3 linked regions of the Macaca mulatta genome follow. The protein of the gene in region 3 interacts with the protein of the main gene of each other region in a biochemical or structural test. Links are inferred from orthologs where the notes say so. Each region holds a gene or a part of one and is shown on either strand. Other genes may lie near its edges. The genes, in order: GTF2F2, CREBBP and GTF2B.

The links.
Region 1: the proteins of GTF2B (region 3) and GTF2F2 form a complex in vitro, tested with the Homo sapiens proteins (2 studies listed by BioGRID and IntAct). The link is inferred for Macaca mulatta from reciprocal best matches to the Homo sapiens genes GTF2B and GTF2F2.
Region 2: the proteins of GTF2B (region 3) and CREBBP form a complex in vitro, tested with the Homo sapiens proteins (2 studies listed by BioGRID). The link is inferred for Macaca mulatta from reciprocal best matches to the Homo sapiens genes GTF2B and CREBBP.

The regions. Positions count from the first base shown.
Region 1 is NC_133422.1:24,430,905-24,434,656, reverse strand, and holds the start of GTF2F2 (general transcription factor IIF subunit 2), read right to left. Parts: upstream 2,602-3,752; 5' UTR 2,455-2,601; coding exon 2,389-2,454; intron 1-2,388. UniProt on the Homo sapiens protein: TFIIF is a general transcription initiation factor that binds to RNA polymerase II and helps to recruit it to the initiation complex in collaboration with TFIIB.
Region 2 is NC_133425.1:5,006,075-5,009,726, forward strand, and holds part of CREBBP (CREB-binding protein), read right to left. Parts: intron 1,934-3,652; coding exon 1,691-1,933; intron 326-1,690; coding exon 223-325; intron 1-222. UniProt on the Homo sapiens protein: Acetylates histones, giving a specific tag for transcriptional activation. Mediates acetylation of histone H3 at 'Lys-18' and 'Lys-27' (H3K18ac and H3K27ac, respectively).
Region 3 is NC_133406.1:151,737,245-151,740,896, reverse strand, and holds part of GTF2B (transcription initiation factor IIB), read right to left. Parts: intron 406-3,652; coding exon 272-405; intron 1-271. UniProt on the Homo sapiens protein: General transcription factor that plays a role in transcription initiation by RNA polymerase II (Pol II). Involved in the pre-initiation complex (PIC) formation and Pol II recruitment at promoter DNA.

The sequences.
Region 1 (3,752 bases), on a different chromosome or scaffold from region 3:
TCAAGGTATTATTTTTAACAGAAAATATTAATGTAAGGAGAAAAAACTTGAAATCAATACGTAGTTCAAATAAAATTCTGATGAGATGAGAATGAAGACACACTTTCTAAGCAACAAGTTACTACTTCTTTTTTTTTTTTTTTCTGAGATGGAGTTTTTGTTCTGTTGCCCAGGCTGGAGTGCAACGGAGCAATCTCAGCTCACTGCAACCTCCGCCTCCCAGTTTCAAGCAATTCTTCTGCCTTAGTCTCCTGAGTAGCTGGGAATACAGGCGCATGCCACCATAACCGGCTAATTTTGGTATTTTTAGTAGAGATGGGATTTCACCATACTGGCCAGGCTAGTCTCAAACTATTGACCTCATGATCCACCTGTCTCGGCCTCTCAAAGTGTTGGGATTACAGGTGTGAGCCACCGTGCCCGGCCCAATCCTGTGATGATTTTCTAAATGTGACTCTGGTTACTTACCCTCCCCTCTAATTCGTACTGCACACTGCCAAACTTTTTTTTTTCTGAATAAATATTTGGCATCTCTCCCTCACTCAAATCCTCCAAAAAGTTTGTTACTTCCTTGTAAACTAAAGTTAGAACATCTCCGTTTCATGATATGACAATCTGAGTATATGGTCCCAACCTTTATCTACACAGATCTTCTGCTCTAGGTTCTCTCTGTTTTCCACGACACACCATGCTGATTATGTATTTTGAGTCTTGCATTTCTGTTCCATTCCCCATGGTATATGCTATGTCCACCCACCCAAATCCTGTAAGGCGTAAACACTGAGCATTTACCATGCTCCTAGAACAATGGCACCATCTCAAGTCACACCATTTTTTCAAGCTTTTTCCTTCAGTCTGCAAGGGCCATCTCCTCCTTAGTGACTCTCCTCCAATTAACACGCTGCTGGAGAGAGAAATGCCTATTTAATTCATCCTTTTAAGTCACACTGAGCTTGGAAATAAGTCAAATCAGTGCCACAGATTAAGGCGAGGGTTAAAGAATGAGAGGTCATGCATTTATTCATCACCTTTTTGTTGAGTAATTACCATGTGCCAAACACTATTCTGGGTATGACAGGCAAAGATCCAATCTCATGGAATGTGATTTTGTGTGTTGGAAAGACGGAGGTAACCAACTTTGAACATATTAACACAAAATCACTCTACACTGTGAAAAGTGCTTTGAAGAATGTAACGGCCAGGTGCGGTGGCTCACGCCTGTAATCCCAGCACTTTGGGAGGCCAAGGCGGGCGGATCACGAGGTCAGGAGATCGAGACCATCCTGGCTAACACGGTGAAACCCTGTCTCTACTAAAAATACAAAAAATTAGCCGGGCGTGGGGGCGAGTGCCTGTAGTCCCAGTTATTCGGGAGGCTGAGAGAGGAGAATGGCGTGAACCTGGGAGGCGGAGCTTGCAGTGAGCCAAGATCGCACTACTGCACTCCAGATTGGGCGACAGAGCAAGACTCTGATTCAAAAAAAAAAAAAAAGAAAAAAAGAAAAGAAAGAATGTAATACGGATCTGTCGTGTTAGCAAATGATCATAAGGGAGCCATTTTTAAGAAGGCCGACAAGAAAGACCTCTTAGATTTAATTGACGAGAACTCAGCCATATGATAAATCAGTTAAAGCATTAAGAAACCGAAAGTCCTTACATTTTAAGTCTCAACGACTTTCAGGATCACATTTTGAATTTGCTTAAGTATTATGAAACTCCCCTAGGAGAAAACACTTCCCAACATGAAACAGTAAAGCACAAATAGTGCCCGCTGTGAGCCAACCAAAATTGCTGTCTTTACATAAAACATTTATTGACGGCCAGTTTCATCAGACCCAAATGTGCTCTGAAAGAATACTCCAGTCCAATGACCTCTCCTGACCTCTCCTTCTGTTTGTTCAGGGCTCTCTCGCCTCTTTTGAGAGCTTCATTAAGGACCATTTACCTAAGAGAATAAGAGTACGCAGGGACCAGTTCTAGTTTCTCGCCGAAAAAACTGTACAGAAAGCAGACATTCAACTACCTCACACAGGCTCATGGCTAAAACCAGTTTCACCAAGGGAAAGATACAAGTAATTCTTCGGTCTGGGATAAAATGCACCGCCCAAGTCTAGGAACACCAAGACAGGGCTCCAGGAAAGCCGTGAGAAAGAGATCTAGTCCAGGCTGATTCAGACCAGTAACCGGCTGAAAGACACTTTGCGTCCCTAAACTAATCTCCTCATCTGCAAACAGATACAACAATGACTCCTGCCTCTCAAAATATGTGAAGCTCTAACGAGATAGCCGTAAAAGAACTTTAAGAGGTGCACGGAGCGGGATGGGCTCAAGTTACTTAAATTATACTTGTGTTAGGAGGAGCGCAAGTGGGAGACTCGTGAACATTACCTTGACTAGCCACACTCCTGTGTTCTGTTTGGCGCCGGTCAGGTCGAGTTCCCCGCGCTCGGCCATGGGTCTGTTGCCGGTGGACGCGTGTGGCCTACAGCAGCGACACCAGGAGCCGGAGGGCTGAGAAGTGGGCGTCCGGAACAAAGGGCAAGCCGCGCTGAGAGGTGAAGAGGCGGCGTTCCTTACCTGCCAGGACACTGGAAACCGGGGGGAAAGAGGAACACGCCGCCGGTAGCCAGACTGCGCCTGCGCACTGTACGTTCGTACGGCGCGCTGTTGCAGACAAACTTTCTGTTTCGGAAATTCCTTGGGTGGGCGTGGCTGTCAGCGTAGTGTGTATCTGAGGGATTAAAACATAGGGTAAGATGAGCCAAAACGTTAGCAACGTATTTAAAGACATGGCCAGCATAACTGAAGAAAAAGATTATCAGAACGGAAAAACGGGGTTCAAAGAGACAAAAGTTGTCAGAACGTGTCCAACCCTAGCCAAAGAGAGAGAAAGAATATTTGAAGGACAGGCTTAGGTTAGTAAATTGGCATCCCCCCTGGCCAACGTCATTAGCACAAGTGGGCACTGGGATCAGACTTGGTAGCCCTGGGTATATTGAAAACATGCCGTTTCTAGACCTGAAAAGAAAGCCGTGTTTCAGCTCAGAGGCTGCCCGAGCTCCTCTGATTAAGCAAGCAGAGCACCTCATATTCCAAAACCCGAAGGTCTGTGACGAAACGAACAAGTAAGAGACAAAACTGATCGTTTCCTCCCCTGCTTAAAGTTTTCTCTTTCTCTTCTTGCCTCTAGAATAAAATTCAATCCTCCTGCTTCAACTGGGCCCTCTTAATTTCATCCGTTTTCCCCTCCCACCATTACTCCACCATGCACCGAACCGCACCAAACCCAGCAGACTTCCCGGAACACGTCAGAATCTTCCTCGGTCATTTCAGAGCCTCTGCACACTGGATTCCCTTCCTTGGAAGCCCTCTTTTACCCCTGCCCTCACTCCCACTCTTTCCTCTGGTTGGCAAACTCCTACTTATGGTTCAAGACCAATGGAAATGTCACTTCTTATGAGATCTTTTATCAACTTCCCCAGAAGAAATTAGTTTTTCTTCACATCACAGTGTGATACTTAGCACTCTGCACTATAATACATATGTTTACATATCTGCCTTTGCTTTCCAGACAACGAACTCCTCCTAGGCAGAAAGAGCTTTATTGAGGTATAATTTACAAATAAAAAATGGTGCTTTATTCATGTTATATCCACAATGTATAGCACAGTGTTTGACACATTGTCAGGTTTCAGCAGGCTTTGGGTGAAAGAACATTCGCTGAAGAGAAACAAACAGTAAGGTATTGTTAA
Region 2 (3,652 bases), on a different chromosome or scaffold from region 3:
AGTCAGGAGAGCCAAGTAATGTATATAAATAAAACTTAAACTATGTTTAATCTATTATCTGCTCTACACTTACAATTAAAGAAAAAAAGGAAAACAGCATTCACCCCTCACCACCCCATTTAAACTATTTTCTGTGCCACACATTTAGAAAGAATCAGTTTTGTGTGGTTCTCAGTCCACGTTCTTGTTGGACTGTCACTCAGAACTGAAACAGGGTCTTACTTTGTGGCCCCCAAGGAAGTCGGAAGAGCTGATTCTGAAATCAAGTTTGGGGGCTGCTGATCTGTTGTTATTCCTCCTGCTGGAATGTTCATTGGATTATTTCCTTTAAAGACAGAAAGAAATCAATCAACTCTTAAATTTTAATATATACTTCAAAGTTTTGATGACAGATAACCAACATGTCATCACATAAACAATTGGTGATTATTTAAATAAGTGATTCTGGTCAGTTATAATAAGCACTGAGGCAGGAACCCCGAGTGTCATATTTTCAATAATGGTAATCAACGTGCACAAATAATCAGTAGACACCTCCCCACTCTACTTTGTAACCAAAGTAAGGTGTGTTTATGGAGATTAGCTGGTATCTAAGTGAAAAAGTTATAAATGATCCATATGCAGCCTCTGACTTTCATTCTGCTTCATTAGTATCACTCCTGAGTGACTCAGCTGCACTGACATATACCTCTGTGTCTCCACCCCCAATATCAGAAAATAAAATCATAGAAATTAAGCTCAGGAAAAAAATACAGAGGTCAATTTGTCTACAATCTTCATATTAAAGTAAAGGAAGGCCGAGATTAATAAAGGTTAAGTTTGTCCTAAATTATACCATCAACAGGAGAGGAGTTAGATTAAGACTTGGGTCTCAGGACTCTAACCCAGTCTCCTGGCCACTATTAGTTAGACATTCACTGGGGCAGTTGTTTTCCAAAAAGCAACAAATAAGATGACTTTAGCTGGGCATATTTTAAGGAATAATTGTTAACCGTAAAATACTTTATTAGGAAAAGAACAAAACTAGCACAGCCAGCCAGCCAGTCTGGACTTCACAGACATCACTGCTTAGCTTAAGCCTAGATGTAAAGGGACTGTGTCCACTTAAAGAAAAATATTAAGGAAACCATATGCAGAAATGGCAAAAATCATGGGTATGTGTGAGCAAATGACCAAAGGTGGGCAAATAATGGGCTGGGGTGACAAAAGAAATGCTGACATGTCCAGCAGCCTGGGAAAAGAGTTTCCAGGGCTCCTGTCATTAACCTGCCGAAGTCCAGGCTGGTCACTTCCAACTGTGGGGTAGACCCTAACCAAGATGTGTGAGGAAGTGGCAAACGCAAGTTCTCCATCAAATAAATGACAACAGTCAGCACGAGGGGTCCAGTCAGCATCCTGACTTGTGAGATCTGCATTCTGAGCCACATGGCACATTCTTTATGAAAACTGTCCAGAGAGAAGTGGCACAGCAAGCAACAAAAACATTGCTTCATTTGCAAATGCTGCTCTTTTTATAAGCATATAACATTTTCCTTGCATTAGACACTTCAGCTTTTTACTGGGAGATTTTTATTTCAACCACTGTAGTAAAAAACACAAAACAAACTGAAAACTGCCTTGGGTTCCATCACTCCATTCCCTTTGCTATATTTGGACAAGTAAGAATGAAGTTGAGAGTTTCTTCACCTACCCAGGGGGTTGAGAGTCCTCATCTGCTGGTGGGTTTGAGGCTGTGCTGGTTGCTGGCCAGGAACCTGAGGCTGCAGCTGCGTCTGGGGCTGGTTCATGTAGGGGAGTCCGAGAGCAGCATAGGCTCGCTGCATGGAGCTGGGGTCTATGGGATTTGGGTTACTTAAAGAAGTGGCATTCTGTTGCCCTGTGCCAACAGAACCAATTGTGTTTTGAATTCCACTAGCTGGAGACCCCAGGATGGCTATAACGACAAACAGACAGACAAACGAGAAAGGTAAGTAAAAGGGAGAAGCCCACAAATGATTTAAAAAACTACTGAGAAGCAAATACATTTCATCAAAATACTACACATGAATATCATAAAGCAGTAAAACAAGGCTAGGGAGAAAGGAACTGTGCTGAAGGACTCATGTATTCTGCCTAGCAGTAAGTGAGGAACAAAAAGTGAAAGAAAAGTGAAGTTTCTATCTTAGCAGGCAACAGATCATAAAATTTCACAGATAACACCTGAAAAAAATTAGTATGTTTTAAAACCTAGAGACTCCTCAAGAGGTCAGTTCCAGGGAGTGGCAAATGTATGACAAGGGAAACGTCTGATTCTCTGGTGGGCAGCAGACACCTTGAGATGAACAGAGGAGCACCCTCCTGCTGTTAACCCCAACCCTGTCCTTCACTGCTCACCTGCACAGGTACAGAGGGCTTAAGAGAAGGAGCAGAGATGATACCTCGTTGGTCAGTTTTGATTAATAAATCTATGATGTGCTCTTCTAAATCACATAATCGCAAGTCCTTGAAACTTACACAAGCAATGACAGCATGAACACATCCTTCTGACGGGATTCCTATGCAGCAGAGCACCATGCTGAGCTCTCTGGTTATATGAAGCTGTTTAAGAAATACTGAACTTGACTGATTGACTGATTTGTTTGAAATTAAGGTTGGAGTGAGGCTTCGCAATTCCGCATGGGTCTTGTTATCCGGGGCCACCTCAGCACCTCTGATATTCAGGAGGTGGCTCTGCCTCACATGGCCAACATCAGATTCTGCTACCCAGGCCCACTGCTGGCTGGCAGGGAAGCTGCCCCATTCAGCTAGCTAACCCCAGGAGACTAAAGGAAAAACTGGTGTCAACATAAGAAGCTCCATCCCAAAGGGCTTCCAAGGTAATGGAGAGACTACTCCAAACTTGCATCAACTTGCATCAACTTGGGCATTTCAAAGTCAATTCATCTACCCACCTACCTACCCACCTGTTTGCCTGCCCACTCATCCGTCCCAACAACCCAAATGTTGTGTGAAAATTTATCATATGGCAGAAGTTCTACATCATACTATTTATTCTTATTTTTGAGTTCCTTTCTAACTTCCACAAATTTTAGAGTCATGTTAAAAATAGCATCCTACAGTGTTGCTACTATAACACATCATTTTTTGATACATAAAACACGATCACAAAGCCTTTCTTTCAAATTCCAACCACTATGTGTAACAGTAATATTCTCACATTCAACCATCAGTGCACCTATAGTAACCCCAATACTTACCCAGAGCGACCTAATTAAACTAAAATGTGTGAAAAGAAAATTCCTGGTAATTATACATTCCATACTATTAACTTTTCTAATAAGGATACTCAGATCAACTCATTAACACTCATCAGACACAATTACACACACCAAGCACTCATTATCATAAATGAAAAGCAACTCCCAAGGTGCACTTTATGACAAGTGTGTAGCTGAAGTAAGTCATGCACAATACCTTGAAAAGTATTCTAATACTTACTACTCCCCAAAACTTTAAACATGTGTCCACCATACTTCTGAAACTGACATCTTACATTTTTAAGAAGCACTATGGTATAGAAATCAAAGTTACCAGTGATAGGATAGTTTATTTTTCTACAACCTTGCGATGTAAGAACAGGGCTACACTATATTTAACACACATGGTGATGCAC
Region 3 (3,652 bases):
GTATACAAAATGTGATTTATGAAAAAAAGGTCTGATATAAAGGCCCTGTAATTTGGATTTAATTTGGATTTAATTTGATTTAAAAGTCTTCCCCACTTTAGGATGGAATAAACACACAAGTTAGCCTTCATTCACAATGATATTACTGGCAAATCTTATTAGACAGGTCAAGAGTCCCCACTGGTACAGTGACATACTTTTGCAAAGTTCCCAAACTCTCAGGTCTATGGTCATTCTGCAATTGGTATTTCCTGCCAAATGGACTTATTACCTTGCCAATCATGGTAGACAAATCTCCATCACTCAGAAGAGGATTCTGAGAATCTCCAACTCGAGATGGATCTTTTGTTGCTTTGTCATTGCTGAAAGTTCGCCATTCAGATCCCACATCGATAACCCGGTCACCTAAGAATATAAGCACATACCTGAATCATTTTGTCAAGATAAGGTTTACTTAACTACACTGTCCAATGCCCAACTAAGCCATTTTATTCCCAGGAAATCTCCACATGGACATCTAGGATCTAGCTCAAATATCACATTTCAGACATTTGTCCTAAAGCATTCCTTTAACTATTGTACCAGTCTAACAATAATCCTCTTGAAACATTATGCTATGATATTCTAACTCTTGGAAGAAAAAGAATGTCAAAAGTAGCAAAGTACAGCTATTCATATGTGATGCAAAGGCAAACAATGTAATAATGATTAAGAACCAGATTTTGCACAAAATTTGCAACAGGCATGGGAAAAAAACAGAAAACATTTTTTAGAATGGTATTAATGCAAATAATTTCATATTAAAACGTCACTAAGTTTTGGTGGGAAATGCTTTGCAGAAAATAAGCCTAAGCTTCTGTTTCAAAGTAACAATTTGATGAAAAATATATGTGGCCAAATAATTTATACAGAATAAACTTCAAGCCTAGAATCAGTAAGAACAAAGTCTGGTTGGCAAACTTTTCTCTTTAAGCCAAGAGGCAGCATCTAAATACATGATGTCAAAAAAAAGCAGACACAAGTAAACCGTATTATTACTGTTTTGGTGAGAAATCTCAATGTCTGGCAATACCTTCAGAGTAGTCAAAAGTTAACACTGAACACTTACACACGATACTCATTGTGCCCTTTTGTACATGTTCTCACTTAATCTTCACAGCCTTATCAAGGGAGGTACCACTTTTACTGCCACTTCACAAATAAGATGAACTAGCCTAAGATCACATAGCTAGAACTGAAATGCACATCAGAGTCTGTTCTACACTCCAATTATAAAACATGAGCTTTTTCAGTGAATTGTGATGAAGCTGAAAGTAGGAAGGAACCAGACCATTTCATCTTTGTGTATACACAGCAAGCAGAAAGAAACAAATGGCAGAAACCAGTTACTGCAGCAATTAGAGTTATGGTATTAACAGTCAATTAATATAATAGTCAAGAGTGTGAACTCTGCCCTTTGCTGCTTAGCCTTAGAATATTACTTCATTTCTATGTCTTTATTACCTCAGCTCTAAAATTCTCCTTAACCTCGTATTTTAAAGATTATAAAGATTAAATAAGATATTATAATACCCACGTATAGTGCATGTAAAGTGTTTAAAAAGTAGTACTACGTGCTCAATATTCGCTATTTACTGCTATGAAAATTAGAAAGATAGCATATATTCTGAGTTTCTCCTTTTTTGTGGGGATGATAAGGGAGAGGCATCAGTTTAAAATATTAATCTCGGGCCAGGTGCAGTGGCTCACGCCTGTAATCCCAGCACTTTGGGAGGCCAAGGCAGGCGGATCACCTGAGGTCAGGAGTTCGAGACCAGCCTGACCAAGATGGAGAAACCCTGTCTCTACTAAAAATACAAAATTAGCTGGTCATGGTGGCACATGCCTGTAATCCCAGCACTTTGAGAGGTCCAGGCGGGCGGATCACCTGAGGTTGGGAGTTCGAGACCAGTCTGACGAACATGGAGAAACCCTGTCTCTACTAAAAATACAAAATAGCTGGGCGTGGTGGTGCATGCTCGTAATCCCAGCTACTCAGGAGGCTGAGGCAGAACTGCTTGAACCCAGGAGGCGGAGGTTGTGGTGAGCTGAGTTCACAACAAGAGGGCAACAAGAGCAAAACTCCGCCTCAAATTAAAAAAAAAAAAAACCCAAATAACAAAACAGTAACATTAATCTCCATAGAAGACTTTAAAAGTTCCCAAGTGCTCTGCTAAGTACTTGATCAGGAGGACAGCAAAGAACAGAGAAAACAGAAGGAATTCCACCTAGACTATGCTAACTTTAAAATTTTGTATATAAAAATTAATTTAAATGCTCATAAACAACCAGAGTATAGTGATCATGTAATTTAATCTTAGTGACAGATTTAAGAAAAGGCTCGGCATGGTGGTTCACGCCTGTAATCTTAGCACTTTGGGAGGCTGAGGCAGGAAAATCACTTGAGCCCAGGAGTTCGAGACCAGCTTGGGCAACATGGTGAAACCCTGTCTCTACAAAAAAATACAAAAACAAATTAGCTGAGCATGGTAGCACATGCCTGTAGGGAGGCTGAGGTGGGAGGATCACCTGAGCCCAGGAGGTTGAGGCTGCAGGGAGCAGGGAGCCATGATTACACCACTGCACTCCAGCCTGGGTGAGTGAGACCCTGTCGAAAGTAAGCAAATGTTCAAGAGAATGATTCATTCCTGAAGCCTCTGACAAAATGTTTCTTTTTTCTTTCTTTTTATTTTTCAGACAGGATCTCGCTCTCTCGCCCAGGTTTGAGTATAGTGGTGCAATTTCGGCTCACTGCAGCCTTTGCCTCCCAGGCTCAAGCCATACTTCCACCTTAGCCTCCTGAGCAGCTACAGATATGCACCACTAATGCCTGGCTAATTTTTGTATTTCTTGTAGAGACGGGGTTTTGCCCATGTTACCTAGGCTAGTCGTGAACCCCTAGGCTCAAGCGATCCACTCACCTGGGCCTCCCCAAGTGCTGGGATTACAGGGGTTAGCCACCGCACGCAACAGAAAAACTTTTCTTTAAACAGCTGAGGTAAAAGTAGATTATCAGTTGGACTACCATGTGTCCACATTACAAAGGGATTGAGATTAGAGGCAGAGTTCCCATCTGCCATCCCTGCATGCAATGAGAACAGGCAAGGCAGGCAGAAGCAGGGCGGTAAGTCAGAAGGCAATTTTAATACATCACATCGAGGAGGTGGCCCAAAACAAGGAGAAAAGCGTTAGATGGATGGCATTACAAGGATTTCTCTATTTCCTCTTCCTCATAATAAACATCACTAAACTTAGGAAGTAATGTGAATTACACAGATTTTAAAAAGGTACTTAAAAGTATCAAATTGTCATTGTGCACTGAAACCTTACCAAACCACTGTGCAGTGAGTACTATTCACCAACAAACCCATGTCCCAAAGAGATCACACTAAAGAGATCAAGTTTTCTTCCTTTTTAGAAAATACTTGCTCACTAAAAGATGTTAGAAAAAAAAGTTACCTCCATTCCCAATACCCAGTGACGACCACTATATTTTCATATATGCTCTGTGTTTTTCGTTCATATGTATGCACCTATATGTTTTCCTAAAATTTAGATATTGTACCTGTTTCATGGCAAGCTCTTTTCACTAAATTCATCATAAGCACCAGCA